2 linked regions of the Tamandua tetradactyla genome follow. The protein of the gene in region 1 purifies or fractionates together with the protein of each later gene. This does not show direct contact. Links are inferred from orthologs where the notes say so. Each region holds a gene or a part of one and is shown on either strand. Other genes may lie near its edges.

Region 1 (15,500 bases):
GCATGTAATAACATGGATGGACCTAGAGAACATTATGCTGAGTGAGTCTAGCCAAAAACTAAAGGACAAATACTATATGGTCCCACTGATGTGAACCAACATTCGCGAATAAACTTGGAATATGTCATTGGTAACAGAGTCCAGCAGGAGTTAGAAACAGGGTAAGATAATGGGTAATTGGAGCTGAAGGGATACAGACTGTGCAACAGGACTAGATACAAAAACTCAAAAATGGACAGCACAATAATACCTAATTGCAAAGTAATCATGTTAAAACACTGAATGAAGCTGCATCTGAGCTACAGGTTTTTTTTTTGTCTGTCTGTTTGTTTGTTTGTCTTTTTTTTGTACTATTATTATTATTTTTATTGTTTTCTCTATATTAACATTCTATATCTTTTTCTGTTGTTTTGCTAGTTCTTTTCCTAAATCGATGCAAATGTACTAAGAAATGATGATCATGCATCTATGTGATGATGTTAAGAATTACTGATTGCATATGTAGAATGGAATGATTTCTAAATGTTGGGTTAATTTCTTTTTTTCCGTTAATAAAAAAATAATAATAAAATAAAATAAAGAATTACTGATTGCATATGTAGAATCGAATGATTTCTAAATGTGTTAATTTCTTTTTTTTCTTTAATTAATAAAAAAAGAAAAAAAATGAGGGAGAAATTAAAACATTTGCAGACAAAAAATCACTGAGAGAATTTGTGATCAAGAGACCAGCTCTGCAAGAAATCCTAAAGGGAACATGAGAGACAGATACAAAACAGGAGAGGTGTGGAGAAGAGTGTAGAAAGGAAGACTGTGAGTAAAGGTAAAAAGAAGGAAAATTAGATATGACATATAAAATGCAGAAGGCAAAATAGTAGAAGAAAGTACTACCCATGCAGTAATAACACTGAATGTTAATGGATTAAACTCTCCAATCAAAAGACATAGTCTGGCAGAATGGGTTAAAAAGCAGGACCCATCTATATGCTGCCTCTACTCAAAGGACACAAGGCCAAGGACACAAATGGACATTTACACACCAATGTTTATAGCAACATTATTAACAATTACCGAGATATAAACAGCCTAAATATCCATCAACAGACAGTTGGCTAAACAAACTGTGACATTTACATAAGATGGAATATTACGCAGCCGTAAGACGGAATAAAGTTATGAAGTATGTAACAACATGAATGGACCTTAAGGACATTATGCTGAGTGTGATTAGCCAGAAACAAAAGGACAAATACTGTATGGTCTCACTGATATGAACTGACATTAGTGAATAAACTTGGAATATTTCCTTGGTAACAGAGACCATCAGGAGATAGAAATAGGGTGAGATATTGGGTAATTGGAGCTGAAGGTATACGGATTGTGCAACAGGACTGAATATAAAAACTCAGAAATGGACAGCACAATATTACCTAACTGTAATGTAATTATGTTAAAACACTGAATGAAGCTGCATATGAGAATGATAGAGGAGGGCTGGGGCATAAATGAAATCACAAAGAAAGATAGATGATAAAGATTGAGATGGCGGGCCACGGTGGCTCAGCAGGCAAGAATACTTGCCTGCCATGCCAGAGATCCCGGGTTCGATTTCCAGTGCCTGGCCATGTTAAAAAAAAAAAAAAAAGATTGAGATGGTGTAATCTAGGAATGCCTAGAGTGTATAATGATAGTGACTAAATGTACAAATTTAAAAAATGTTTTTGCATGAGGAAGAACAAAAGAATGTCATTACTGCAGTGTGCTGAAAACAGATGGTACTTAATATTTTAAAATTTCAACTAATGTGTGAGGCTAAAGCAAAAAATGTTTATTTGGTACAAATCTGTACTTTCACTAGTGCATCTCCTAATACAACTTACGTAGATAGTTGATTGAACACCTTAAGTACATGGAACTTTGTATAGGACATGAGATTTTGTTGGTTTGTCCAGGTGATGCCCTGATGAATCCCAGAGTGATTTGATCAGTGAGTGGAAAAGTATTTGCAAAGTCCCCTTCAGAGAATGGTGAGAATGGAGGAAAACTCAACTTCCCCAAGTTGAATTCTTGATATTCTCACAAGCAGTGTGGACAACCATGGCTATAGGCTGAGCCCCCAGTCTTGGGGTTTGTTCATATGAAACTTAACCCCACAGGGGACAGGTCAAGCCTACTTAAAATCAAGCCTAAGAGTCAGCCCCAAGAGAACCTCTTTTGTTGCTCAGATGTGGCCTCTCTCTCCAGCCAACACAGCAAGCAGACTCACCACCCTCTCCCTCTCTACGTGGGACATGACTACCAGGGTGTGTGGATCTTCCTGTCAGCGTGGGACAGAAATCCCAGAATGAGCTGAGATTCAGCATCAAGGGATTCAGAAAAACTCTAGAATGAGCTGAGACCCAGCATCAAGGGATTGAGAAAACCTTCTTGACCAAAAGGGGGAAGAGGGAAATGAGACAAAGTGTCAATGAATGCGAGATTCCAAACAGAGTCGAGAGGTTATCCTGGAGGTTATTCTTATGCATTAAGTAGATATCACCTTGTTATCCAAGATGTAATGGACAAGCTGGAGGGAACCGACTGAAAATGTAGAGCTGTGTTCCAGTAGCCATGTTTCTTGATGATGATTGTATAATGATATAGCTTTCACAATGTGACTGTGTGATTGTGAAAACCCTGTGTCTCATGCTCCTTTTATCTACCTTGCCAACAGATGAGAGGAACATATGGAATAAAAATAAATAATAGGGGGAACAAATGTTAAAATGAATTTAGTTTGAAATGCTAGTGATCAATGAAAGGGATCAATAAGGGGTATGGCATGTAAAATTTTTTTTTTCTGTTTGTTATATTTTTCTGTTGTCTTTTTATTTCTTTTTCTGAATTGAAGCTAATGTTCTGAGAAACGATTATGATGATGAATATGCAACTATGTGATGATATTGTGAATTGCTGAGTGTATGTGCTGGGAATGTTTGTGTTTCTTGTAATCTTTTTTAATTAATAAAAAATTAAAAAGAGGCAAGGGAGGATTCTTCCCTAGAGCCTTCAGAGGAGCATGGCCCTGCCCACAAAAAAAAAAGTATATGAAGGGAGCGCAGGCAATGGTGGCTCAGTGGCAGAGTTCTCATCTGCCATGCCGGAGACCTGGGTTCGATTCCCGGTGTCTGCCCATGTTTAAAATATATATAAATAAATAAATAAGCAAATATATATATATATATATAAAGGCAATATTTGTATTACAAAATAACTCATGACATTCTTTCAAAACTCAGAAGTCTTTATTACACTTTAAATCTTAGCACATCTTGAAACGCTGAATAAATGTTGAATGAATTCCTCATTTATAGATTTGATATGCAGAGAGAGTGTATATCAATGCAAATGCAGAAAGTAAAGAAATTTTTTTTAAGTTAAAGATCCTGATAAGTATTGCATTTCTTAGTAGTAACCTTGGGATCCTTATTCCAAAAATGAAATACACCTTTGGGAATGATCTTTGGAACCAGTTTAAAAGTCACACAAAATCAACTCCATCATTTTAGTTAAAAATAACTGCTTACCCTAAGTGTGTATTAGCTGGCTTGGAGCATCTACTCATTTTTCAAAATACAGGATCTTGACTGCAAGCATTAAAACCATTAGAGGGCAGGCCACGATGGCTCAGCAGGCAGAGTTCTCACCTATCATGCCAGAGACCCAGGTTCATTCTAGGTGCCTGCCCATGCAAAAAAAAAATTTTTAATAAAAAAACCATAGAAATTGACTCTAGCCATCTTTTAAAAAAAGGAACTTTATTGGAAGACTCTTGAGGTTTACAAAATTGAAAGGCATCTGGAAAATGAGGATGGAGAAAGACCAAGCCAGCAGTCTAGAGAGAAAGAAGCACAAAGAGCCATGTCAAAAACAGTCTGGTCCACATACTACACCACTCTGAATAGGTCTTCAAAATCACCACAGTCTGTGACTCTTTCAAATCACCTGAGTGGAAAAGTCTAAGCCTGACTGCACTTCAAGAGGGAAGGAGATGCTGCAACAGGGCACCCTGAGGCTGAACTCCCTAAAACCAAGACAAAACAAGCGGAGTGATGGTGGAGAGCAAAACAACAAATTTCTCCAACACACAGACAGAACAACCATGTGGGAAGACTATTTCTCCATTTTCACATGAGAACTCTTGAGACTCAGAAAGCTTAAATAATCTGTAAAACAAAGGCTACACCTCAGACAAAGTCTCTTAGCATTTTTGCTATTCCACCAGACATATTCTAAATTCTACCTGGTCATTTAAAATAATCAAACCCAACCTTAAAGGACCAGGACTTGACACCAATGAAAATTTTCAAAAGTAAATGTCAGTTATTTAAGGTAATTCTCAATGAAGCAATCTAAAAATGCTCTGACTAGTGGAAACATCTTTGTTAAAAACGAATAGTTGGGGAAAGGAAAATACCTGGCATTTCTGCTGTCCCTTCTCTTCAAACACAGGAGAGATTACAGAAATCATTCCAATTATTCAGAAGGTGAATTCAAGTTTAAACCTACTATCCTTTTCATTATCATCTACTGATACCCTATGTCATCAATTTTTCACTCCAACTGAGATCAGAATAACGAAAGGCTCAAGTTTCTGTGTTTTATACAAGCCAGAAAGGAAATGATTGGTAAAAATCTGATATGCTACTTAAATTTTTAAAAATCAATCACAATTACCCCAATAGGTAATCTGAAAGCTGGTGATCTACTTATTGGCAAACTGAGCCTTCTGTTCAGTAAAAGAGGAGAAAAAAGTTTTTAACTTGATTCAAGATAAAATCAAAGTAATTTTTAAAATATTATAGATTATAAATGTGTTAAAAGTAAATTGATAGACAGTGAGAATAAGTAAATAACCACCTCACAACATAAAAAAAAATGATATGGAAGATCTCACAATTTGAGCAAATGCCAAACACAAAAGAAAGTATACAAAAACGGGCAAAATTAATCTACGGTGATTCTAAGTCAGGCCAAGGGTTCCACTTGAAGAACAGGTAGTGACTAGAAAGTAATTCAAGTAAGGCCTCTGGAGAGCTGGCCATGGTGTCTTTTACTCTAGGTGCTGGTTAAATGGGTGTGCACAGCTTGTGAAAATTCATCACACTTAGGATAATGCACACTTTTTAGTAAGTTTATTATTCTTCAAATATATATATTTTTAAAAGCAAAAAAAAAATAAATTGATAAGTGTCAGCTTTTTAAAACGTCAAAGTAAAATTAATTTTGCCATTACATAACTCCTCTTAAAACGTTTACTTGTCTTCATTTCAGATAAGGTCAACTCCCACATATACAAAACTTGTCCAACATTAATGACCTGCCTATCCTTAAGGTTTAACTTTTAAGTATCTTAAAAGTGCCCAGATACTACATGGGTGGATGCTAAGTTAAAATAAAGTTAAAGCAGTGAGTTTACTAAGTTATATATTATGGCTAAAGTTTGGAACTTTTTAGTATAAAATTTAGTAAATTAGTATTTAATACTAACAAGCATAAAAGCCTACACACTAGGTAAGAGAACAACTCCCAGTTACAAGTTAAAAACATGGGGGGAAATCTTCCCGAGGAGAAAAACACATGAATAGATGATGGGTTGATAGGACTTGATATGAGTATGTAAAGATGTGACGAAAGGAAAAAATAAAAGGCAAATTCCTGAAACTAAAATCTAAAGCAATACAAAATCTCAACAAAGTCCCCACTCCCTGGGCTTGCCTGTATAAGAAGAAAAAAAATAATTCCATACTGTGGTTGTAAATCAGCAAGAAATGTTCAGAATTATCTAGACTCTGGAACTTAGCCAGGACGTGCAACATATAGTGACTCCTGACACAAACACAACTCATCTTTTTTTTTAAAAAAAAAAGGTATTTTCTTATCATAATTTCTACTTACGTGACTCAGATCTCAAAAGCTAGTTTTTGCTTTAAGTTTTAGTTTTACACACACACAAGATGGATCCACACAGAAAAGTGTCAAAAATTATAAACCAAAAATACTGCTCAGGAATATGGGCGACTTGTGTTCTTTTGTTTTGTATTTTCAAAAACTTCTACAGTGAAGTTTTGTCCCAAAGGAAAAAAATAAAGACATAGAAAAATGTTGATCACCAAGATTCCAAATTGTGACACCTAAAAAGGTAAGTTAAATACTTTCTAATATCACATCAGAAGATCACTGTAGTTCTCGTTTGCGCTTTCATTCACAGAACAAAAGAGGAATTTCATATACTGTCTCCCTTCTATCATCAAGACTCAGTAATTAAACAGGTACTGGATCCCTTTCACAGTCAGAAGGACTGAAATATACCAACTTTTTTCAAAGTGATGAAACACCTGGGCGAATGGGATACCAAGATACTACGAATGTTCTGGACATTTTCATCAAGGAAAACTATTTCAATTCATGAGATTTCCAAATATATACCACAACATCAATATCTAAGAAGTTTCAATGAAATAGGAAGCTTCTTACAATGCTGAAATTCTGTGCCCACCTACGGTGAACTCGGAAAACTTTCTTAAAAATAAAAGAGAACAAAACAGATACTTCTGAGTTTGACTCTCAAAACGTGCTCCACATTCTCAACTTTCCACAAGCTCCTGGGACCACCTCACCATTACTAATTTATGGAATATTCATTCAACGTCTGAAAACGGGTGTATTTGTCTTTAAAAATCATTTTGTAGCTGGAAGAACAAAGATCGGATAAAGCAAATACAGTAAAATATTAACTGTTGAATCTAAGAGGTGAATAAGTGTAAACTGTAGCTTTTTTTTTTTCTTGCAGCGCAGAGGGGTGCAATAACTGGGGTGATGATAATCATTTTATTGTAAGGTAAGAAGAACTATCTTTCGCAATTTAACCTACCTAAGGAATTGAGGCCTTTCATCAAATTACAAACCTACCATTTCAAACACTCCCCGAAAAGGCCCTTCCTTAAAACGGTAAGCCTTCCTTGAGACCAGTCAATTGATAAAAGCTCCACTAAAAGTAATCTCACAACTAATGCAAGTTCAAATAGAAAGTTATTTTTCAGGATCCATGAGAATTTTGCTTGATTTTAACTTTACTCAAAAAAATAACTTTCGGGCGGGCCACGGTGGCTCAGCAGGCAAGAATGCTCGCCTGCCATGCCAAAGGACCCGGGTTCGATTCCCGGTGCCTGCCCACGTAAAAAAAAATACTTTCCCAATTACGATATCACCAAAATTTTCATAATTCCAAACACTACTCCTTGATTAAAAAAATAATAATACCCCAGAGAGCAAATCCACGGACCCCTCCCGGGCCGTCAAACCTGCAAAACCCACGAGGTCCGGACGCTGGTGGTACCAGGTATTTCATTCTAACATCTTGGGGTCTGCACGGGTTGAACACGCGGGAAAAAAGCGAGACAGAAATACAAACTGCTGTTGAAATCGCAGAAGTGACTGTGAAAGGCGGAAGGGAAAATCCAAGGCATCTGCACGAGGAGGCCGGGAAAGCGCCGAGCCAGGCTGGGGGATTGGGGGGGGAGCAGTTACTAACTCCAACACTCCAGGTGCAAGTCTGATGCTGGCTGGAGCCGAGCTGGCAGCTCACCCGGCAGAAGCACGGAGCTCGAGCTGAGCCTCCCACCTGGTGCCCGGACCCCGCGGGCCACCGGCCGCCCTCTGCCCGCCCCGCCGTGCCCGCACCTCTCGGTCCTTGAGGCCCAGCAGGAGCACCTCCTCCATCAGGGTCAGACGCGTTTCCTTGGAGTCGCCCTTGTCGTCGTCGTCCTGCTCATCGCGGCGGCTCTGCGCGTCGTCTTCGCCGCTGCCGCCGCCGCCGCCCGCCGCCCGCTCCTTGTCGGCGGCGTTGCGGGAGGCCTCGGTGCGCCGCTGCACCAGGCCCGAGCTGCGCTGGGTCAGCGAGGTCATGGCTCCGGCCACAGCGCCGAGCCGAGAAGGACGAGGGACCGACCGGGGTTCCCTCCTCCTCCTGCTCCTCCTCCCTCAGCCCCCGACCGGCCTTCCGCGTTATAAACGAGCACTGGGGCGACGTCCGTCGGCAGCGGAGCCGGGAGCAGTCATGGGGAGACGCGCTGCGGCGGGAGCGGACGGGACGAGTGTCGTTGGTAGGTGGGGAGAAGGGCTCCTTCCTTCCTGCGGCCCCAGCCCCCGAGGCAGCCTGAGTTCCGAGGCGGAGGAGGCGGCGGCGGCGGCGGCGCCTGCCCAATATGGCGGCATCGGCTGACGTCACCGGAGTATGTGGCAGTGTCGGCGGCGCGGGGCGGGCCTGAGAGCGCCGGAAGCGGCGGGCGGGACCCCACGACGGGAGAAGACTGGGACCTGCCCTCTCCCGGCTGCTCGGCCTCGGGCTGTCGGCGCGCGCTCTCCTTTTCCGTGGCGTTCCTTTGCCCCCGGGCCTGCCGCGCCCTACCGGTAACGCGTCCTCCCTCCGCCCGCCTCCTCCTTAGCCCCTCACCATTCCTGGCTGGGGCCGGAAGACGGGCAAGGCGTCCCCACAATCGGGGCAAGCGAGGGTGGACACTGCTCAGCCAGACTCGAGTTGTGTTTCTAGAACTCCGGAGAACACAGTCTTCCGAGTTGGATCCCCCGCCGGGGTGGCAGGGCTAGAGCTTCAGTCCCGGAACCGCCCGTCCCCCACCCCCGCCCCCACCCCCACCCCCACCCCCACCCCCACCCCCGCCCAAGACCAAGGAAGGACTAAGCGCGCGGTCTAAGGGTTAAGGAGAGGCCGCGCTCTCCGCCCAGATTTACTGATCCTCCAAAAGAAGCTACTGTGCACAAATGGTTTTAAGGTGGACTTTTAGTGTTTTTAGGCGCATCACTGTATGAAAAGAGAGGTTAGGACAAATTGAATAGTTTTCTTTGTTAAACTTTTCCTTGCTTACCGACGTGTGCTGTGTAGTGACCAGGGCGCAATGAGTACATTTAGTACCGCGTTAATACACTCGACCTTAACGATCCTTTTATAGAGACAATAAACCCGTTGGGTTTCATGCCACGTCTTTCTACACATTGAATCTTTCAGTTTAATTACTTGGTTAAATCCTCTTGGCATGCTTGACAGTTTGCGCCAATTATGTTAAAGAATAGATGTCAAACTTGGAAGCGTGGGCGGGGAGGGTGTTTGAGGGGTAAAAAGGTGACACTTGTAAGTAAAACAGTATCCAGAAACGACATTATATACCATCCAGTTTTATTTAAGATAAACAATGCCCGTAGGCTGTGGCTAGAAAATGGTTTAAATGAAACTGTTGTTGTAAAAGGACTTACACGATAATGGTCCCCCCTGAATGATAAACAGGCCTATAGGAATTGCTGGCTGCATGGTGCTTCCCCCACCACAAACCCATTATCCAGAACTCATTATCACCCTTTACCCTGCCAGGTGAGAATGCTAAATCTCTTCCTCCTGGGGAGCAGGATGTGCACAAAGTATACACACCCTTTTGCAAAGGTCAGTATCATCTCAGCCAATTTCTCCCATTCACATTCTCTTGAGCTCTCTTTTTCATTCATCTTTGCTCCAGTTCTTTCCCAAATGGCTTAAAATACTGGGTGCTTTTATAGTTATGGCATCAATTAATTATTTGACTAATTAATATATTTACACAGTTCAAAGAGTTTAGGAATGTATAATGAAAATCTCCCTCCTCTTCCTGCCCCTTTTCACCCAGTGACTCCTTCTGTGGTAGTGTTAAAATAGTTCAGTTAGTTCTTTGATACTGCACCCTTCAAAAGGTGGAGTGGAGCAAGCTTTAGCTAGATATTACTAATTACCGTGGTTTGGCAAACCCAATCAAAATCATTCCTGTTAATCCTAAAGAACACCTAGGGCTCCATCTGAGGTTCTACAAAAGTTTGAGGTACTAAGATTACTTTCCAGAAACCTACAGCCTCCAGATGTGTTCCTAAGCCACATAAGTCCTGAAACCCAGAGGTGCCAGCCTCTTCAACAACATCAACTACGTCTCTCCCCCATCCCTTATCAACACCCTTTTCCAACATGAAACACATTGAGGAGAGCCTAATACCCCTAAAGATTGGGAGAAGGATCAAAGGCAAAGAAGGAGTTATAACAGAGAAGATAGGATTTAGCGAATTGAGTATGACTGCTATATTGATATTTAGTTTAGTCTCCAGTGTTTGGAGCAGCTAAAGGGGAAAGTGTGAAATTGTGGAACAGTAACCCATACCAAACTCTGAAATCTGTTCTGTAACTACTTGATTCAATGTACTTTAAAATTTATTGCTATATATATATATGTGTGTTTGTATACATGTATGTTATATTTCATAATAAAATATGTTAAAAACAAAAAAAGATGGAGTGGAATTCTCCTCCCCTTGAGTGGGGACCAGACTTGAGTTCCTAGAAATGAACAGAATATAACACAAAAGTCTGTGCATGACTCCTGGACTAGGTCATGAAAGGCCGTACAGATGGAATGGAGTTGTGAGGTGTGCAACTAGGTGAATGAAACTTAAGGACACTCTTTTGAATGAAATGTCAGAAACAAAAAGACAAATAGTATCATACCTCACTCATATGGACCAACTGTAATACACAAACTTGGAGAATTGAAGTCAAGAGCATAGGTTATCAGGTGGGGGCCTATTGTAAAGAGTCCTAGATTGTAAGCTCTATTCAGGAGTTGTAATTTCTAAATTCTGAGATACTGAGCTATTTGTGTATAACTTGGTTGTTCTCTGGAACTTCGGGTATATATGTGACAAGTGAGACTCAGAGCACTGAAGTTATGAAAGTCAGCATTACAGTAGTTACAGATAAGGGTTAAATCATGCAGTGCTGTGAGAATTAGGTTCTGGTGTCACCTTGGCCAAGTGATGATGCTCAGTTGTCTGGTCAGGCAAGCACTGACTTGACCATTGCTGCAAAGATATTTCATGGCTTGTTGATAAACTGGAAGGCTGGTGTATTAAATCATCAGTCAGCTGACTGCATCTGTTGCTGATTACATCTGCAGTCAACTAAGACGTGCCTCCCATGAATGACATAATCCAATCCGTTGAAGGCTTTTAAGGGAGAAGAAAGACTTTTTCACTACTTCTTCAGCCAGTGAGCCTCTTCTATGTAGATCATCCAGACCTTTCATTGGAGCTGCCAGCTTCACAGCCTGCCCTATGGATTTTGGACTCTTCTATTCCCAGAGTTGCATATCTCCTGATGGTTCTGTTTTTCTAGAGAACCCTGACTAATACAGCTATTATAAGATTTTAGTCTTTATCCGAAAACAAAAAGGGAAGGTACTTTTAAAAGTATCCTTTTTAAAAGGATACCTTTAAAACCTCTGTATAAGGAAGGGAGAAGTGTGTACGTATGTTATGTGTGTGTGTGTGTGTGTGTGTGTGATATTGTCAGATTTTTGTTTTCAAAAGCCCAACGAAGCACAGTGTGTTCACAGTGGATTCAAGAATCCAGTTAGTTTTTTTAGTGCAATTTTATTGGATATATATTTACTTACCATTTAATCATCCAAACTGTACAGTCAGCAGCTAACAAGATTATCATATAGTTATGCATTCATCATCACAATTGATTTTTGAACATTTTCATTATTCCAAAAAAATTAAAATAAGATCAAAAATAAAAGTAAAAAAGAACACCCAAACCTCCAATAAACTTCCTTCTCCCCTATTATTTAACTTTTTTTTCTTACCTTTCCATACACTGGATAAAGGGAGTGTTAGTCACAAGGTTTTCAAAGTCACATGGTCACATCTTAAAAGCTGTATAGTTATTTAATAATCTTCAGAATCAAGGCTATTAGATTACAGTTTGTGCTGGTTTGAGACCAATGTGTACCCCAGAAAAGCCATACTTTTTAATCCTGATTTAATATTGTAGGGTGGGATCTTTTTTATTAAGTTGTTTCCATGGTGATGCGGCCCACTCAGTTGTGGGTAGGACCTTTTGATTAGGTGGTTTCCATGGAGATGTTTCTCCACTCATTTAAGGTAGGGTTGCTTACTAGAGTCTTTTAGAGGGAACCATTTTGGAAAAAGCTTCAAAGCTGACACATACAGAGAAATTTGGAGATGAAGAAAGAAAACGTCCCCAGGGAAAGGCATTTGAAATCAGAAGCCTGGAGAGAAAGCTAGCAAGCATCACCAAGTGCATTCCCAGCTGACAAAGAAACCTGAACATGATTGGCCCTTTCTTGAGTCAAGGTATGTTTATCTGTATGCCTTAGTTTGGACATTATATGGCCCTAGAACTGTAAACTTGTAACAATAAATTCTGGTATATTGCATTCTAGCAGGCTTAACAAATTAAGACACAGTTCAACAGTTTCAGGTATTTCCCTCTAGTTACTCCAATATACCAAAAACTGAAAAGGTTTATCTGTATTCTGCATAAGAATGATGCCAGAATGACCTCTCAACACTCTTTGAAATCTCTCAGCCATTGAAACTTTATTTTATTTCATTTCTCTTCATGCTGTTGGTCAAGAAGTCTTTCTCAATCCCTCAATGCCAGGTCCTGGCTCATCCCCAAGGTCATGTCACAAGCTGCCAGGGAGATTTACAGCTCTGGGAGTCATGTCCAACGTAGCGAGAAGGGCAGTGAGTTCTCCTACAGAGTTGGCTAAGAGAGAGAGAGGCCACATATGAGCCAAAAAAAAAAAGGGTCTCTGGAGTTGACTCTTAGGCATAATTGTAAGTAGGCTTAGCTTCTCCTTTGCATGAATAAATTTCAAAAGAGCAAGCCCCAAGATCTAAGCCCTGGCTCATCAAATTGGCAGTCGTCAATGCTTGCAAGAGTATCAGGTCTTCTCCAAGTGAGGAAATTTAATATTTCTACCTTTTCCCTCAGTCCCTCAAGGGGACTATGTAAATACTTTTTAATCTTCTGCCAAGATTACTCTGGGATATATCAAAGTGTCAAACCAACCTGTACAAATCAACAAGTTCTCACTCCCTATTCATGGTTCCATGTAATTATGATGTTCAAAGAAGCTGACCATACAAGTTAAACTGGATAGCGTGATATTGAAAATATGAATTTTTGCACCAAATAAACCACTCTTCTTTTGGTCTCACACAGATGTTGAAGTTTTAAAATTCAATCAATATCCAAATACTGTATGGTCTCACTGATATGAACTGACATTAGTGAATAAACTTGGAGAATTTCATTGGTAACAGAGACCATCAGGAGGTAGAAATAGTGCAAGATTGGGTAATTAGAGCTGAAGGGATACAGATTGTGCAACAGGACTGAATGTAAAAACTCAGAAATGGACAGCATAATACTACCTAACTGTAATACAATTATGTTAAAACACTGAATGAAGCTGAATGTGAGAATGATAGAGGGAGGAGGGCTGGGGGCACAAATGAAATCAGAAAGAAAGACGATAAAGATTGAGATGGTATAATCTAGGAATGCCTAGAGTGTATAATGATAATTACTAAATGTACAAATTTTAAAAATGTTTTTGCATGAGGAAGAACAAAGGAATGTCATTACTGCAGGGTGCCGAAAATAGATGGTAATTAATATTTTAAAATTTTACCTTATGTGTGAGACTAAAGCAAAAAATGTTTATTTGGTGCAAAATTTATATTTTGACTAGTGCATTTCCTAATATAACTTACCTAGACAGCTTAATTGAACACCATAAGTACATGGAACCTTGAGTGGGACATGAGATTTTCTTGGTTTGTTCAGAGTGATGCCCCGATAAATCCCAGAGTGATTTGAACAGTGAATAAAAAAGTATTTGCAAAGTCCCCTTCGGGGAATGGTGAGAAAGGGGAAAAATTCAACTTCCCCAAGTTGAATTCTTGATATTCTCACAAGCAGTGCAAACAACCAAAGCTATAGGCTGAACCCCCAATCTTGGGGTTTGTTCATGTGAAACTTAACCCCACAAAGGATAGATCAAGCCTACTTAAAATTAGGCCTAAGAGTCACTCCCAGGAGAACCTCTTTTTTGCTCAGATGTGGCCTCTCTCTCCAGTCAACACAACAAACAAACTCATTACCCTCCCACTGTCTGTGTGGGACTTGACTCCCAGAGGTGTGGTCCTTCCTGGCAACGTGGGACAGAAATCCTGGAATGAGCTAAGACTCAGCATCAAGGGGATTGAGAAAACCCCTAGAATGAGCTGAGACTCAGCATCAGGGGATTGAGAAAACCTTCTGGACCAAAAGGGGGAAGGATGAAAGGAGACAAAATAAAGTGTCAATGGCTGAGAGATTCCAAACAGAGTCGAGAGGTTATCCTGGAGGTTATTCTTACGCATTAAATAGATATAACCTTGTTAGTCAAGATGTAGTGGAGAGGCTGGAGGAAAATGCCTGAAAATGTGGAGCTGTGTTTCAGTAGCCATGCTTCTTGAAGATGATTGATTGTATAATGATATAGCTTTCATAATGTGACTGTGTGATTGTGAAAACCTTGTGTCTGATGCTCCTTTTATTTACCTTATCAGTAGATGAGTAAAACATATGGAATAAAGATGAATAATAGGAGGAACAAATGTTAAAATAAATTTAGAGTGAAATGCTGGTGATTGGTGAGGGGAAGTGGTGGGGGATATGGTATGTATGAATTTTTTTCTGTTTTGTTTTTCTTTTTCTGAATAGATGTGAATGTTCCAAGAAATGATCATGATGATGAATATGCAACTATGTGATGATATTGTGAATTACTGATTATATATGTAGAATGGAATGATCAAAAGTTAAGAATGTTTGTGTTTGTTTGGGGTTTCTTGGTATTTAAAAAATAAATAAATAATGGGGGAACAAATATTAAAATAAATTAGTAGATTGAAATGCTAGTGATCAATGAAAGGGAGGGGTAAGGGGTATAGTATGTATGAATTTTTTTCTATTTTTTTTCTTTTTCTGAATTGATGCAAATGTTCGTAAGAAATGATCATGATAATGAATATACAACTATGTGATGATATTGTGAGTTATTGACTCTATATAAAGAATGGAATGGTCATATGGTAAGAATGTATTTGTATGCGATTATGTTTCTTTAAAAAAAAAATACAGTCAATATCATCCTTTACCCTGTAGTCTGATTTACCTTAATCATACCCAGATCAGCTTCATTCATATCTCTAGTTGAAGTCTGATCACTTTTTCATTGTTTTTAACAGTTGCTGTATGGGGCAATGCTGACTTTTCTGGTTGCAGAGTTCTAGCAGTGAGTCTCAGGTGTCCCACAAATACCTGAAGTTGTAGGAAACAACCAGATTATACACAAAGTACACAACATCTCAGAATTTAGAAATAACAGTTACAACTCTGGAACAGATGTGATGCTGTACAATCTATGATTCTTACAATCTAGGAGACTTCACAATAAGCCTTCACCTGATAATGTATGTTCTCGAATTCAATTCTTTTAGAGTTTGCACGTTGCAGTTAGTCCATGTTACTGAGGCATTATAATATTTGTCTTTTGTTTCTGGCTTAC
Region 2 (16,160 bases), on another chromosome or scaffold:
TAAATATCCTGGTTTCACAACAGCTAAAAAAAGCTTGCTTCAGAGGCTCAATTTCTTTCATCATTCACATTCAAATACACATAAGTCCTACATGTTCAATAAATATTTTATAAGGACAATATATGACTATAAAACTGTTTTGGGAGAAGAGATAAAGGTTCCACAGAAAAAAAGTGAGGTCTTAGTAAGTCCTCTGTTCAAGAGTCTGGCTGATATTTGGAGGAATATATAAAGAAAAACATGCCAGTGCCAAGGCTTGTAAGTCATCATGTGATGAAACTCAATGTATGTGGCTGCTGAGGAACATGAGAACCCTGGCCCTTTACAAGCCATCAATAAGTTCCAAGAGCCATTAACAGCAGAGTCCCCTTAAATCTCTGATCAAGTGGCGACCTCATACTATTTCTAAGGTCAAAGGGGAAAAATCCCTACCTTTGTTCAAAGCAACTAAAAGCTAAAGTTTCAGTAATGTCCCTTTTTTGCATTTCCATTTCAGTGGTCAAATCAGTTAATCTTACCACAAAAGTGGAAAAGCAACATGCCAGCTGATCTGTCAGACAGGAAGTGAAAGCTATCGATGGCATTTCAACACCAACTGAGGTACCAACTAAATATGGCCACACGTGAGCCCTGTTTATACCACATGGACATAAGAAACAACAGCTGAGCCTACGTGACTTACATAATTATGAGAAGTAACAAATCGCTGTCATAAACTGCTAAATTTTGTGGTAGTTTATAAAGCAGCAATAGATAACTGTAACGCATCCTTATTCACTATTTATCCTTATTAAAGGTTCTCACCTTTTAGTATCATCTAAAGTGGCAGTGGGGAAAAAATCAACTTGGTTTTATAACCAACCAATAATTCTTATATATATTAGCCCCCATCAATTATTTTGGGGACATTACAAATATGCAAGGAGAGGACGTAGGGAAATAAATTATGCAACTAAAAATAACTGTCTTAAGGAAGGAGTAAACACTAAATTAGCCATTAAATGCCAATAAAGATAGGACTGTTAAATTATTAGGTCATATTTGTAAATTATTATTAATGCCTTCTACGGAACACTACACTCATTATGAAAGTTATGCCATTTCTATTTATTTTCTGCCTTCATTGTTTAAGAATATAAATAACTAATAAAGTCTCTTAAAGGTAAAACAAGAAGAAATAGATTTTCAACTGGATTATTTACTAAAAGCCATTTATATAGTTTATAGCCCTACTCAGACATACAAAGAGCAAATGAGGCTAACTTCATACACAAGTTCACACAACACACACCCAATTTCTAAAGCCTAATCTTTATACTTCAGCCAAAGCACTGACAATAGCAAAAATCACAACCCTTTAGTACAAAACAAAATAGATAAGCACACATTTCCAACCTGGGCTAAGTCTGATATACTGCTCTTTCATTTTTTAACTGGTAGTGACATTAGAGCAATGTGCTACATTATTAGCTGTTATGAATTTATATCCCCTCCCTGCTAGAAGGTTAGTGGCAGTGATTATAAGTAAAATCAAGAACATTCAGAAATCTTTTCACTTAGCATTGTGCTTCCATCCAGAAAGTCAAAATCTCCAATACCAAATGGCATAAAGTTTTTATGACCTGAATAAATCCTGAATTCCCACCAAAAAACCAGACCACTCCTGCATTGCCACCCACTGCCTGCCACAAGTCACAACAGAACATCATTCTTCCTTGTCATCTTTACATGGGAGGTTTCTACTAAAAATAAAATAAGTATATCTAATCAGAATCTAAGTATATTTTTCCTTCCCTGATAAATGTCTACTTTAGAAAGAGCTTCTTAATTTACCTTATTCTAAATATAAGTTCCTCTATAGAGTTAGGAGTGTGTGCTGTGGATTCAGAATGCCTTTACCACTTACTATGGAGCATGGGAAGTGATTTAACCTCTCTGGCCTCAGTTTCTTCGTGTGAAAAATGGAAACAAGAACACTGTTACATAACGTATAAAGGTATTATTAAGAATGAATGACATTACTACACATACCACGTTGAGTAACTGAATGAGCCACTTAAATGTTAGCTATATTACATCAAAAACCCAAAGATAACCTCCTGAGAGAAAAAAAAATGACAAAGAAAATGACTCTTGCTGGAGCCAATATCCTTTTTCTCTCTTCTCAGTTACATAATCAGGACAGAACACATGCATTAAGAGTTTAACAGTCATTAGCAGTCCTGCATCCCTGAACCATACTTATTCCTAAATCTGAGCAGTAGACGAGACTGTATTTCACAGTGGGTACCATGTGAAGCAAGCAGAAGACCACGAGGCCATGCCACTAACCTGACAAGCCTGCTTCTTCTCTCTACAAAGTTCACTTATCCCACATTCAATGTAAATGGAACAGATGAAAAGCATGAATTTATTCCACATCAGGAAAAAGTCTGAAATATAATGTCCTTCACAATATTCTTCAATTTGGAAAATTAACTCTGTTTTTCAAACATAGCAGTTTTGCATGTCTTAAAAGCTCTTAAAAGCCTTATATTAAACTTAAAGTTACTGGCTTAAAAAATCTAATTCCCATATAGTTCAAATTGCTCCTAATATTAGAGTTTCTTCATTGTTTTCTCTTTCACTTAAACATTTATTCATACCTGTAAACACAGCGTCCCTTACATGAAATCCTCTAACAGTCTCTTGTGAAGGACACCAACTAAAATGATTACTAGGCACTAATGAAGCTTTAAGAGAGCCGTTTTTTGTGGTGTGAGATTAAAAATGGAAGAGGCAATAAACAGTGTTTAAGTTCTGGAAAAAAATATTAATTATTGTACCCTGTCCTATGTAAACCTTGATCTAGGGCAATTCTAACCCTTCTCCTTTTCTTCATTTTTTTATTTATTTTTATTTTTTATTTTTTATTTTTTTAGCCAAATAGGAGATTTGAATGGGGATGTGGTAACCCTTCTCCTTTAAAAATGAAAATAAAAAATTTAAAACTCATACTGCTCACAAGGATTGTTCTAAAAAAACCAACACAGGCAGTGTTCACTGATCTGGAAACTGTGGAAATGCCTAAGAATTTGCCTTCTGCTTTAAATGGGCCAGGTATAATGGAGAACCCTAAGTTCTAAGCATTTCCTACTCAATTGTAAGTATATAACCATCACTTAAGGTTATATTATAGAACGTAATTTTTGTACAGTATAGAAAAATGGAATTCGAAGAATATAACATTTTCCTTCAGATTTTTGCATACCTTCTATTTTTACTATTCAATTCACTACAGCTCTTGGAAAGGTATATAAGCTTTATGCAATACCACCTTACATTTTTAACCTTGTGCTCTAGGGAGTTTCAAGCTACATAGGCCACAGGAGATCACTTTCTAAATAGCAGTACCCCAAGCAGGTCTGTGCTAAAATTATGCACCAGACATGATCCCTTTGTTGTAATATAAAAATGAATATACAGCATGCCTGTCTTTTTTATCATACTGTAAGCTGTTTGAGGATGGGGGTGGGGGGGCAGGGGGGGATGTTTTATTCTTTGTATTTCCAAGTAACCTGGCAGAGTGCAGAACACATGAGAGGTACTCAATAAATGCTTGTTGAACAAAAGGAGTGAAGTAATAGAGAGACCTCTATGTTGTAAGAATTTCTTCTGAAATGTTAATTCTTTGGTTTAAAGAAGGCCCCTGTTACTGACACGGGAAACTAAGCTCTATAACTAATTGGGATATACAATACAGCAAAAAATAGAGAAAGATCTTACATGCATACCAACATTATACAATTTAAAATTGCTGCCTTCTGCATACCCTTCTTCCATTTTTTAAGGCCACTGCTATTGTCAACCTGGTTCCTGTAGTTGTCTGGGACAGGGAGCAGAGAGGAATGGATATGATCCAATACACTACCCAAGAATGATATAAGACAGGGTTGGAACCAGATCTTCAAGGATTATTTATTGGCAATGCTTTCTGAAATAAGAACCAACACTGGTACTTCCATACTATTTTCTTTTTTTCTACAGAAGGAATATAAATGCATCTAGACAGAGTACAAATTCGCAATCTAAACTAAGGATGGGAAACAAGAAAAGAACAAAAAAGGCCTGTAGGCAGTCAAAATAGTAGTTATAAAGTTCTTATGCTGATACTCAGAGAAAAGCCAACAGACCCTCTATTTAGCTGTATAGCTGCTTTATATTCAATTTCAGGAAGCAGAATTGGTCCCTACTCCACAGAAGATCAGAAGCTGCAGATTTAAGAGGGCAGCAGGGCGGGCCACGGGGGCTCAGCAGGCAGAATTCTCTCCTGCCATGCTGGAGACCCAGGTTCGATTCCTGGTGCCTGCCTATGCAAAAAAAAAAAAAAAAAAAAAGGGAGCATCAAGATACTAACAACAACAAAAGTGCAGCATTCCCACTGCTGAAAAAAGAGAAAGACTTACTATAAAAAGCAGATGCAAGAAGACAAAAAGCAGAGGGGTCAAACTGCATTCATATTTCAATCACCTCAAAGTATTGCTTGATTACTAACAGTAATGGATGCTAGTAATCCTAACCTGAGTCTAAAAGAAAGATTAAACTATATTGTTTTAAAAGAAAACTAAGTATGTAATACAATAAAATTTTTTTCTACAAAAGTGTAGTTAAAATAAGAATTTTGGCACATAATCTCTTATTTCCTAACATTAGAGAAATGAAACACTGCTATATGCATAAATCAGAAAGTCAACATTTAAGAGCATGGAATGACAGACATTACTGCCTCACCTGTATCTGTTTCTGTCCTCTTTACATATTCACAATGTCACATTCCTTGATCTCCAAATTAATACATGTCTCCCTAGGGCTGTTACCTTGCTGGAAAGTACAGACCCCAAATATGCACCAAAACTCAATGCTCTTTTCTGTATCAGCCTCCATTTCTCATCTCATACTAGAAGACCAATGCATCCCGAGATTCCAGGTCCGAAGTGAGGCACTTCTTTTGTTTTTGTTAAGAAAGACAAAGTAAGAAGTGAGATGTTTGTATTACACTTCTTCTCTAGTTTGCAAGCTGTCGGAATGCGATATACCAGAAACTGAATGGCTTTTAAAAAGGGAATTTATTAAGTTGCAAGCTCACATATTCTAAGGCTGTGTAAGCGCCCAAATTAAAGTAAGGCTATAGATATGTCTAATCTAAGGCATCCAGGAAAAAATACCTTGGCTCAAGAAGGCCAATGTCATTCAGGGTTTCTCTCTCAACTGGTAAGGCACATGGTGAACACGGCAACATATGCTAGCGTTCTCTCCAGACTTCCTATTTCATGACGCTCCCCGGGGGCATATTCCTTATTATCTCCAAAGGTCTCTGGCTGTGTAGGCTTTGTCCATTCTGTTGGCTCTTGTGGCTCTAAAGCTTTTTCCAAAATGGTTCCCTCTTAAAGGGCTCTAATAACGAACCCTACCTTGAATGGGTGGAGACACAACCACAGAAACCATCTAACCAAAAGTTATCACCCACAACTTGGTGGGTCACATCTCCATGAAAACCATCAAAAAGCTCCCACCCAGCAATACTGAATGAGGATTAAAGAACTTGGCTTTTCTGGGATCCACAACAGATTTAAACCTGCACAACTTTCTTCTAGGTGGTTCCAGCAGCCATGTTGACATTGTAAGTGGTCAGAAGCTGGGTTTCAGTTGCAAAGTAAGGTCGTCTTCTCTACATCCTAGGTCCCTGCTAATGAATTCATGTAGCATCCTTGAAGAAGCTCAAGGAAAGAAAAGAGGAAAAGATATATACATATAGGAGGAGCTGCTGGATAAGCACCTTCAGGAAGGATAACTCTCCTCTCCTACCCTCAACGTGAAGGAGTAGATGAGCAGTCAGGGTCAACTCTACTGATGAGCCAAAGATTCTTCTATTAATGCAAAAATACTGACTGCTAAGTTAGCCTAGCAAAGGCAGGCTAAAGGAGCAAGGGTGTGAAGCTGCACCTTACCTGAGCACCAAGGGCTGTTCCTAGACCTGACTGTGGCTAGAATACTCTACATGCATAGAATTAATTCTCAAGGCAGCTCCAGCAAGTACCAGCCTTTATATATACCCATCTCAGTAGAATATTTTCATCAGGAATTCAAACCACATTTTCTTGGTTTTGTTTTGGCAAAAAGCAGAGCTAAACAATTTAGAATATAAACTAGAATATATGTCCTTCCCTCATACTGTTTTCCATTTATTCTTTCAACTAACAGATGTTTCCTACATACCTACTACGCACAGGCACTGCTAGGTACGAAATAAAAATGTACTAATTACCGTACTCCCTACTCTAATCACAAAACCACCTGGCACTTAATCCCAAGAATGACCTGCCATCAAGCTTCAGAAAATGGGTTCCTTTTTATTGTTACTGTTACCACAGAATACATAGTGCAGCCAGCCTCCTGCTTCTATTATGAGACTGCAGCAATTACCAAGAGACAACCACTGTGGTTCGCTATTCTAAAAAGTTATCAATTAAAGAGCTGAAGTATATGGCTTCAGGGTTTATATCAATGAAATAATAGTCACCCAAAGTGTAGGAAGCTGAAGGCTGTACTGAAAGTAAACTAAGAGAATTTCATTCAGGAATTCAAAACTCAGAAAAGCTAAAATGAAGAAATGTCAAGGCTGTGTTGGGAGTCTCTACAAATGGAAATCAAGAGAATGGACTAAAAATCATGTAATAACATAATTCCATTATATAAAGGATTATGAAAAAATAAAGACAGAAACTGAAATTTCTGTTTGTTCCTTAATCCAAAGTACCCAGAAAGAAAAGCAGTGCATGTGTTTGTCTTCTTTAACCAAAAAACTGCTATTTGTATTAATCCAGAGAAACAAACACAAGAATCGATGTTACATTTTCACCAGTCATGGAGAAGGAAAGATTCAAACTCCAAGATTTCCTTATCACTGTTTACCTCCATCCATTTATACGTCAGCACTTTATTTAGCAGTGAGAGTGAGAGTCTGAATTATGTGCTTGTGCCTATTTATTTTTCTTTGATAGCACTTTAAAATGTGGAAAGGCCTCCTGTTGACTGGTTCCATTGTATGGTTTTAGGGGCCAAAGTCCAACATCTTCATGAACTTCAGCAAAGTTATTACTGTAAAACACGAATTTAATTGTAAATCTGCCTTGGAACAGCAGAGTCTAGGCAAATACTTTTTTAGCAGCACCTTTAACACCTATACCTCAATGCCTCAAAGGCATGTCCTGATAACAATATATATGGAAGCGCTCTCAGTCCCTTAGCTCAAAGGCTCCGCTTAAACTCCAGGAACGTTCATAATATGCAGCACACTGGGGTCTCTTAACCCCATGAAAATAATACAACCCCATTAAATTTATGTGTGAGTCAAGGAGGAGAGTCATGGCTAATAAACCACAATCTTAACTTTACCAATCAGAGATGTGTAAAGTCTTAGATTTAAAAGCTAAAAGACCCCACAGTCCAACCCCATCTTTTGAAGGTGAGAAACCAAACCTCCAGGAAGAAGTTGGCTGGGTGGAAATGATACTGACACCTGGCCCTACCTAGACTCATTGAAGTCGTAGTATTAAGCATCTCTCATTTTCCCAAATTATAAACTCATCCATCCAAATGGTGATACAGCCTTTAAAAAAAAAAAACTAAGTAATAATTCCATAAGGACCAATCTTGTTCCCCCCACTCTCCCTCCAACATCCTTCAACCCCTTGCGTCCCTACCAGGAGACTTGCAGGTAACCGAAGCCTGATTAGAATGACTCTTTTATCAGACCCCACAATCGAGGACACAGCTTGACAACTGTTCACATTCATCACTAATGTAACATTTTGGTCCGTTTTTAATCGCAGGGCCATCGCACCCGGAAATGAAATCTCAAGCGCAACCCACTTTGGAGTACCATATCATTTCCTTAAGTTGTGACCGACTGAGGGGGGACGCACCATGAGGACACCGCGGACCCTTAGGCACTGTCGATCCCGCCTCGGGCCTGCAGGTCACTCGCGCTTCTCGGCCACGAGGGGGTCCGGGTAGGGACCAGGCGGGCGCGCGCTCCTCCCCGGGCCGCCGCAACGGGCGCTCGGCGGACCTCGAGGGTGGCACCCAGGCCAGGCGGCTCTAGGGACCCCGCCCAGGGGCGAGAGCTAGTCACTAGCAGGACCTGGGCGACCCGAGGTGTCCCCAAGTAAGGCAGCTTCACCAACGTCCCGGGCCCAGGAGACGGCGGCCAAGGCCGCGTCCCTTCAGCAGCGACCTGCGACCGTCCGCGGGAGGCCACCCCGAAGCCGATGGGGCCGGTCTCTGAGGCAGCAACGGGATCCCTCCCGGACCTGCTCGCCAGCGCTCAGGGACCGCTGGGGGTACGGAAACTCGGCCCCTCTGGGAGGCGCTCCGTCCTCAAGCGGCCCCCGCCCGGTGCACGCCACGCACCGCACCCCGCCCGCGTGCCCGCCCTCACCATCCCGTCCCGCGGCCGCGGGCGGGGGTCGCGTGTCAGCCCGCGTCAGCCCGCGTCCCCACGCCGCTCACCTGCGGGCTCTAGGCTCGCCCCATGGCCTCCCGCGCCGTGCCGTGCCCTGCGGCACGGCCCCGGCCGCCCCCGCCGCCTCCGGGAAGGGGCAGCCGTACGCCGCGCTCACAGCCCCCAGCCGCCACCGCCACTGCGGCTCCCGCCCACCTCCGGCCGGGCCATTCCTAGGCCACCTCTCCGGGCGCTGAGCCGACCGTCCCACCCCCACCTCCTCAGCCCGCCACCGTTGGTACCGTCCTAGCGTAACGCCTTCCCGGCGACCAATCCTAGGGCTCAACCGGCGCGGCCCTGCCCCCGTCCTCCGGTGGGCGGAGTCTGCCATTTCTGTGCAGTTCGGCCCCCCCCCCACCGCCTCCCATCCTTAACCCTTTCCATCCCGGCTTGGCGCCGCTTAACTCTCTCAGCTCACGCTTACCTTCTTTTTCCCGCCCCGCCCTGCTTACATCAATCGGCCTTTCACCTCTCTCTTGCCTTTGCTTTTTCCCTTCCTGCTTTTCTTAAGCAGGTAGGTAGCCAGGCAGCGGGACTGGACATTTGGGATTGCCCAGGCCAAGTGCTATTTATGAGAGGCAATTTCTCTCCTTTTGCCCCTTTCATTTATTTGCTCGGATTTCTGCCTGGAGGTTCTGCCTGTATAAATGTATCCCTCTTGCCTGAAAGAGGCCACCTGTCATCCACTGAATACAGATTTCTTTTTCCTCAGACCAGAGCGGAGCTCCCTGATACATGCTTTTAGGAGTATTTAACGAAATAGTGATTAGTTTACTATATTATCCGTTTTCAGCTTCTATCTATTGCACTAGTCTAGGACACTGGTGTCTGGTCTCCAATGCTCAGCACCCAGTAGGTCTTAATAAATAGCTTGAAAGATTCTCCTTCCCCTTAATTTTTTGTCCCAATTGACTCCATATAGTGCATCCACTGTAGAAAGCATTCATTCATTCATTTACCATCTGCTAAATTTGTAGATGTGCCTGATCAGGAGTATTAGAATGCTCGTTGCTCCATGGGATAAGATGTATAATGGGGGGAGGGGAAAGATCACGCTGTCATTTTTTCAGACTGTGTAGTTAATTTAAGCATCAGGATAGAGTGAAAAGAACTCTTCCTTCCTGGCTGTATGATACTGGATGTGCCACTTGACTTTTCTGAGCATTTGTTTCCTTATGTGAAAAATGAGAGTTAATTGTAGTACCTACTTCACTGGGTTTTCATGCAGATTAAATTAGGACATATGCACAGAAAGTACATGGCAAATTGTTGTGCAATGTTAGATGTTGCTTACTTATGTATTTATTGAATCAGAAGATTCTAGAAAAATAATTGGATTTGACTCTGGCCCCAGCCCATCAAGTTAGGGGGTAGTTCCTCTATAGGAAGCATTAATCACTGCTAGAAAGGGGTGAGCTTTGTATCATTCTTCTACTGGATGTAGTTGAGGGTCATTTTCTACCACAGAATACGTAAACCATGGAAAAATGAGCTGCATGGTAATAAGTGTCTACTTTATTTAGCTACACATGAGCATTGATCTGCTTGCAGTCAGCTAATCTTCCTGAACCTTGCTCACTATCATCAGGAGATCGTGAAACAAAAGGGCAAATCAAAGTCTCCTCTAAGACACTCTTCCAAAAAGACTTTACTTTCTTGCGTATAAGGCTGACAGGAACAGCAAGGGTAGACTTTCCAGCTGTCACTGGTCAGAAAACTATCTTGTGGCTTCAGCTTCCTGGACAGATGGGCTCCTCTGTCTTTAAGAACTTTCAGAGAGGACAGTTCATGGGCTCTCTAGGCAAAAAAAAGTTCAGTATTTAATAGGTCCATATTACATGCGGCAGGACAGACACCTTCCTCATCTTCTGTTCTTAGAGAAGAAGAGTCATGAGTTTAAGATCTCTGTGCAAAGGTTTGGACAGCAATATTGTTTGTTCCCCGGTTTTCTCTTCACCAGGCTCTTAGTGAATATATTCACAGCACAGCACAGCACAGTGTCTGATGCTCCATGACCTTAGTTTCTCTCCCCTCTTCCTGTGAGGAGTCTTATTTTCCAACCAATCAATGGTCAATATATTCTAGGTATTCTGAAAAATGCCATCATGTAAGACAAGGACTTTACCTTGAAAGGATTTGCATGACTAGCACACAGGAAACAGTTGCAAGGAACATGGTACACTTAAATTATGCAGCACAGATTCCGTGATCCCTGAAAGAATCAGAGTCTAGGAAGATGGTGTGAGCTAGTGTTGTCAAGTAGAGAGCTTGAGGTGAACAAAGTATGGGTGGGAGAAAAAAATGGAATATGAGCCAAAGTCAGGTAGTGCGATGTGAATTCAGAGACAGACATGCAGCAGATGATGCATGATGGGAGAATTGTTCATTCATTCATTTCATGAATGTCCATCAAGTGTCAGGCACTGAGCTACACTGGGGCCATACAAAGATGAAGACGGCCTGGTCTCCTTCCTTGAGAGGCTTACAGTCCAGTTTTGGGAAATGGAAAGGAAGGTCAGGCAGAGGCATCATTAGGAGAGGCTGAGTACTTTGTCAAGATTTCATGACACTGCCTCACTGTGTGATGTGTTGTGATTCTAGGAGTCTTTGCCTGATCTCTCCTTTTTCCCTGTCTCCCCAGTCCCCAAGCTGCAAGACTTTTTTTTTTTTTTTTTTTTTTTTAAAGACAGAGAGAAGGAAGGAAGGATAGAAGGAAGGAAGGAAGGAAGAAAGGGAAACATTTTTAAACATTTTCTTGTTTTATTGTATTCTGTTTCTCCGTTTTTGTTACATGGGCTGGGGCCGGGAATCGAACCGAGGTCCTCCGGCATAGCAGGCAAGCACTTTGCCCGCTGAGCCACCGCGGCCCGCCCAAGCTGCAAGACTTTTAAGGATACAGACTGTGACTTTAATTTCTTCTTTAGTTCCTTCGGTGGAATGCCTCTCTCAGAGTACCTTCTCCATACTCCTGCTTTGAAGTGCATTGAATTGAAACCAGGGCAGTATTTTGGCTAGTCCCCTCCAGCCAAAATGGGTTCCTCGGAGAGGAATCATGGTTCTTACCCCCCAGTGCCGAACCTTCCAGGGCCTCCGGAATTGAGTAGAAACTCTTCCACTTAGCATTTACAGTCCCACTCCACCTTTCCATTTGTTCTTTGCATACATCCCTTTTCCCCACCCCAACCCCATTCTTTCTCCTGGATTCACACCTCACCCCTAACTCCAACCTCCACCTGAAAAAGATTATGTATCTCTCAAAAGCCACTTGCTCAGGAAACCTCTCCTTCCATTTCCAACTGTGCATTCTTTCTTCCACTTCTGAGACCCAGCACTCTATTTGTATCTTTCCTGTGATATCATTTATATCGAAGGCCTTGGGGAAAAGGCCCTGACTCCCCTTCCACTGATGGTAAGCCCCTGAGGCCAAGGAGTATATTTTATTCACATATACATCTTCTGTAGTGCTAACTCTATATATCATACATGTTAGACATGCAACACTTGAAAGAAAAGTTTTAGGAGAACAGGTCCACTGGGGTGGGAGACTAGGAGCGCTGCAGGTTTCTTTCTTAGCCACTTTGTCATTGAAGGTGTTTTCTTTAAACGATTTCAGAATTTCCAGGTTCCTGCCAAATTTTCAAGCCCCTGGACTCAAATAACAGTCTGGCAATCCCAAAGAATAAGGGGAATGCTGTCTCACGGCACCTGCACACAGACATAAACATATCGACAGCTTCTTTTAACCCCATTAATACACCTACAACGATGGATCCCACTGAAACTAATTAAGCTAATTCTACATCAAGAAAGTTGAGCAGAGTTTTAAGAAAGCTTAGGCTGTTCCAGGGTGCTAGGAGCCTGGGAGAGGGTGGCCAGGCTGGTTAGTAAGTGAAGGAGCACATGACACCGTTTCCAGGAGCATGTCCTCTGCCATAGTTGTGTCCCAGTCCCCGGTACTCCAACCCAGGCAGGTTTATTCTCTGCATCCGGCACTGTGGACAGCTGCTTCTGTATTTCTTTCCTACCTGATCAAACTCCTTTCTCTTGTTTTGTCACACCCTCTGCAGAGCTACGCCCAGCCCTTACAGAAATGGGACTGCCCACTTAACCCTTTACCTGGCACCTCTGTCGGTGCCAACTTAGTGAACCTTTCAAGTCCCAGTGACAGCATAATAAACCTCGTAAACACGCAAACACAGAACCAGCTTCTCTACCAAGAAATTTAGGATGTATATTCTGAAAGTGGTGGACATCCTTCACTTATTTTTTTCTCATTCTACTATGTATGTGTATATAGCTGTCAGAGAGAAAGAGAGAGAGAAAAAGCAGCTTTATTGAGATATACGTTACAAACCATAAAAACCACTTGTTAAAAGTGTACAATTTTAGTTTATTTATGAAGTTGAGCAACCATCACCATAGTCTAATTTTAGAATATTTTCATTGCTTCAGAAAGTAATAGGGCCTTATTTTTTCTATTTTTAAAAATATGCATCTATTTAGTTTCTTTTTCAAATCTGCTCATTAAAGCAAAAGCAAATACATTAAAGGGATAGGTTGATCTTTTAAACTAACACTAATCCTAGAGTTAGTAAGAATGCAAAGGAGTTATGGTTCTCCAAGCTGTGTCTCTCTCGCTTTTTTTAATTTTAATATTTTTATTGTAAAAACTGAACATACAAACATTCTTGACAAACATACATTCCATACATGGTTTACAATCAATGGCTCACAATATCATCACATAGTTGTGTATTCATTACCATGATCATTTTTTTTGAACATTTGCAACTTTCCAGCAAAAGAAACAAAAAAGAGAAAACTCATACCTCCCTCTCCTTGACCACTAGTTATTTCAAGCTTCTCAATTTATTTTAACCTTTGTTCCCCTATTATTTGTTTTTTTTTTATCCATATTTTTTATTTATCTGTCCATACCCTAGGTAAAAGGAGCTTCAGATGCAAGGTTTTCACAATCACACAGTCACATTTTAAAAGCTGTATCATTATACAATCATCTTCAAGAAACAAAGCTACTGGAACACAGCTCAACAGTTTCAGGTACTTCTCTCAAGGCACTCCAATATACCACAAACTAAAATGGGGATATCTATATAATGCATAAGAATAACCTCCAGGATAATCTCTCGACTCTGTTTGAAATCTCTTAGCCACTGAAATTTAATTTTGACTCATTTCTCTCTTCCCCCTTTTGGTCAAGAAGGTTTTCTCAATGCCTTGATGCTGGCTCCCAGCTCACCCTGGGATTTCTGTCCCATGTTGCCAGGGAGACTTACACCTCTGGGAGTCATGTCCCACGTGGTGGGGGAAGAGGAGTGAGTTCACCTGCCATGTCAGCTTAGAGAGAGAGGCCACATCTGGGCAACAAAAGAGGTTCGCTGGGGGTGACTCTTAGGCCTAATTTCAAGTAGGCTTAGCCTGTCCTTTGCAGGGGTAAGTTTCATAGGGGCAAACCCCAAGATTGAGGGCTCAGCCTGTTGATTTAGTTGTCTCCACTGCTTGCAAGAATGTAAAAACTTCTCTAAATGGGGAAGTTGAAATTTCCCCCTTTCTCCCTATTCCCCCAAGGGGACTTTGCAAATATTTCTTTATTCACTGTCCATATCACTCTGGGAGTGGTTGATGTCAAGGTAGCTCAGTGGTAGAATTCTCACTTGCAATGTGGGAGACCCAGGTTCATTCCCGGAGACTGCACATGCCAAAAAAAAAAAGAGAGAGAGAATTTCAAATCACTCTGGGATTTTGTTTCTTTGTTTTTTAATTATTTTATTTTATATATGAAACATAACCACATACAAACACAAACATTCTTACCATATGATCATTCCATTCTTGTTATATAATCAACAACTCACAATATCATCACATAGTTGTATATTCATCATCATGATCATTTCTTAGAACATTTGCATCGATTCAGAAAAAGAAATAAAAAGAAAACAGCAAAAAATTCATACATACCATACCCTTTACCCTTCCCTTTCATTGATCACTAGCATTTCAATCTACTGAATTTATTTTAGCATTTGTTCCCCCTATTATATATTTATTTTTAATCCATATGTTTTATTCGCCTGTCGATAAGGTAGATAAAAGGAGCATCAGACACAAAGGTTTCACAATCACACAGTCACACTGTGAAAGCTATGTCATTATACAATCATCTTCAAGAAACATGACTACTGGAACACAGCTCTACATTTTCAGGCAGCTCCCTCCAGCCTCTCCATTATACCTTAATTAAACAGGTGATATCTATTTAATGCGTAAGACTAACCTCCAGGATAACCTCTTACTCTGTCTGGAATCTCTCAGCCATTGACACTTTATTTTGTCTCATTTTGCTCTTCTTCCTTTTGGTTGAGAAGATTTTCTCAATCCCTTGATGCTGAGTCCCAGCTCATTCTAGGATCTCTGTCTCACGTTGCCAGGAAGGTCCACACCCCTGGGAGTCATGTCCCATGTAGTCACTCTGGAATTTATCGGGGCATCACACTAACCTGGACAAACCAACAGAATCACATGCCCTATTCAAGATTCCATGTACTTATGGTGTTCAACTAAATTGACCATACAAGTTAAATTAGGAAATGCACAACCCAAAATATAAGTTTTGCACCAAATAAACATCTCTCCCTTTACTCTCCCACAGAAGTTGAAGTTTTAAGGTATGGAGGATATCATCCTTTATCCACTCTTCTAATATACCTTGGTCCTATCCAGATCAGCTTCATTCATATCTCTACTTGATGTCTGATCACTTTTTCAACTTTTTAAACAGTTCCTGTTTGGGGTACTACTGACTTTCATCCAAACTGTGTCTCTCTTAACCGCCATGTGTGGCAGCAGTAATTGCCCGTTCCAAAATCTCTATTTTGTTGTGGTATATTCTCTTGAATGAATGTCCAGGGCCACGTTTGTGAATATTTTCCAGTATATTGTGCTTTTCTCTCATTACAGTAGGCTCTTCAATGGGCTTGTCAGAGACAATATTGCAAATTCCAGATCTCTCATTCCCACAAGGCTGTAACTTCGTAATATACGTAGGATGGTACAGCATATGTGTGGGAATTTAATACAGTTTCTTTGTGGGATGGAAGATCTTTCGTTTTTATTATTTTGATTTAATGCATGAAATAATTAAGACTTGTGGGTCAGCACTGGCAGCTACATGGAAATTCTGGGTTTCTCAAACTTCTCTTAGTTGGGACCTTCCTCAGAAAGCCAGGAAGCCTCCATCATCCAAAAGCAAGTTGGTAAAAGAAGTCTCTTTGAGCCTCTTTCACGACTGATTCAGGGATGGGCTAAAGCGGCTGTTCTCAGTCTGGCTGGAGGGGAGTTTTTTAAACATCCCTATGCATATCCCGATGCCTGACCCCATCCTCGGAGACTCTAGTTTAATTATTTGGGGTAGGGTCCTGGCAAGGGAAGTTTTAAAAAGTTCCCAGATCATCCTAATTTGCAACCAAAGTTGCAAACCTCTGTTCTACTAGGGATTAAGCCAGGATCACGTTAATCAATTGAACCACATGAAATTGCCATTTTTATAGGCCTGAAGCAGTTGAATATTGGCAATTTCATATGGGCCAATCTAGTA

What was found.
Region 2: the proteins of GOLPH3 (region 1) and FAM20B purify together in Homo sapiens (affinity purification with mass spectrometry; 3 studies listed by BioGRID and IntAct, with this or other methods). This does not show direct contact. The link is inferred for Tamandua tetradactyla from reciprocal best matches to the Homo sapiens genes GOLPH3 and FAM20B.

Annotation. Positions count from the first base shown.
Region 1 is NC_135335.1:81,767,814-81,783,313, forward strand, and holds the start of GOLPH3 (Golgi phosphoprotein 3), read right to left. Parts: upstream 8,280-15,500; 5' UTR 7,948-8,279; coding exon 7,723-7,947; intron 1-7,722. UniProt on the Homo sapiens protein: Phosphatidylinositol-4-phosphate-binding protein that links Golgi membranes to the cytoskeleton and may participate in the tensile force required for vesicle budding from the Golgi.
Region 2 is NC_135330.1:33,278,451-33,294,610, reverse strand, and holds the start of FAM20B (glycosaminoglycan xylosylkinase), read right to left. Parts: upstream 8,724-16,160; 5' UTR 8,551-8,723; intron 8,091-8,550; exon of another isoform or gene 7,965-8,090; intron 1-7,964. UniProt on the Homo sapiens protein: Responsible for the 2-O-phosphorylation of xylose in the glycosaminoglycan-protein linkage region of proteoglycans thereby regulating the amount of mature GAG chains.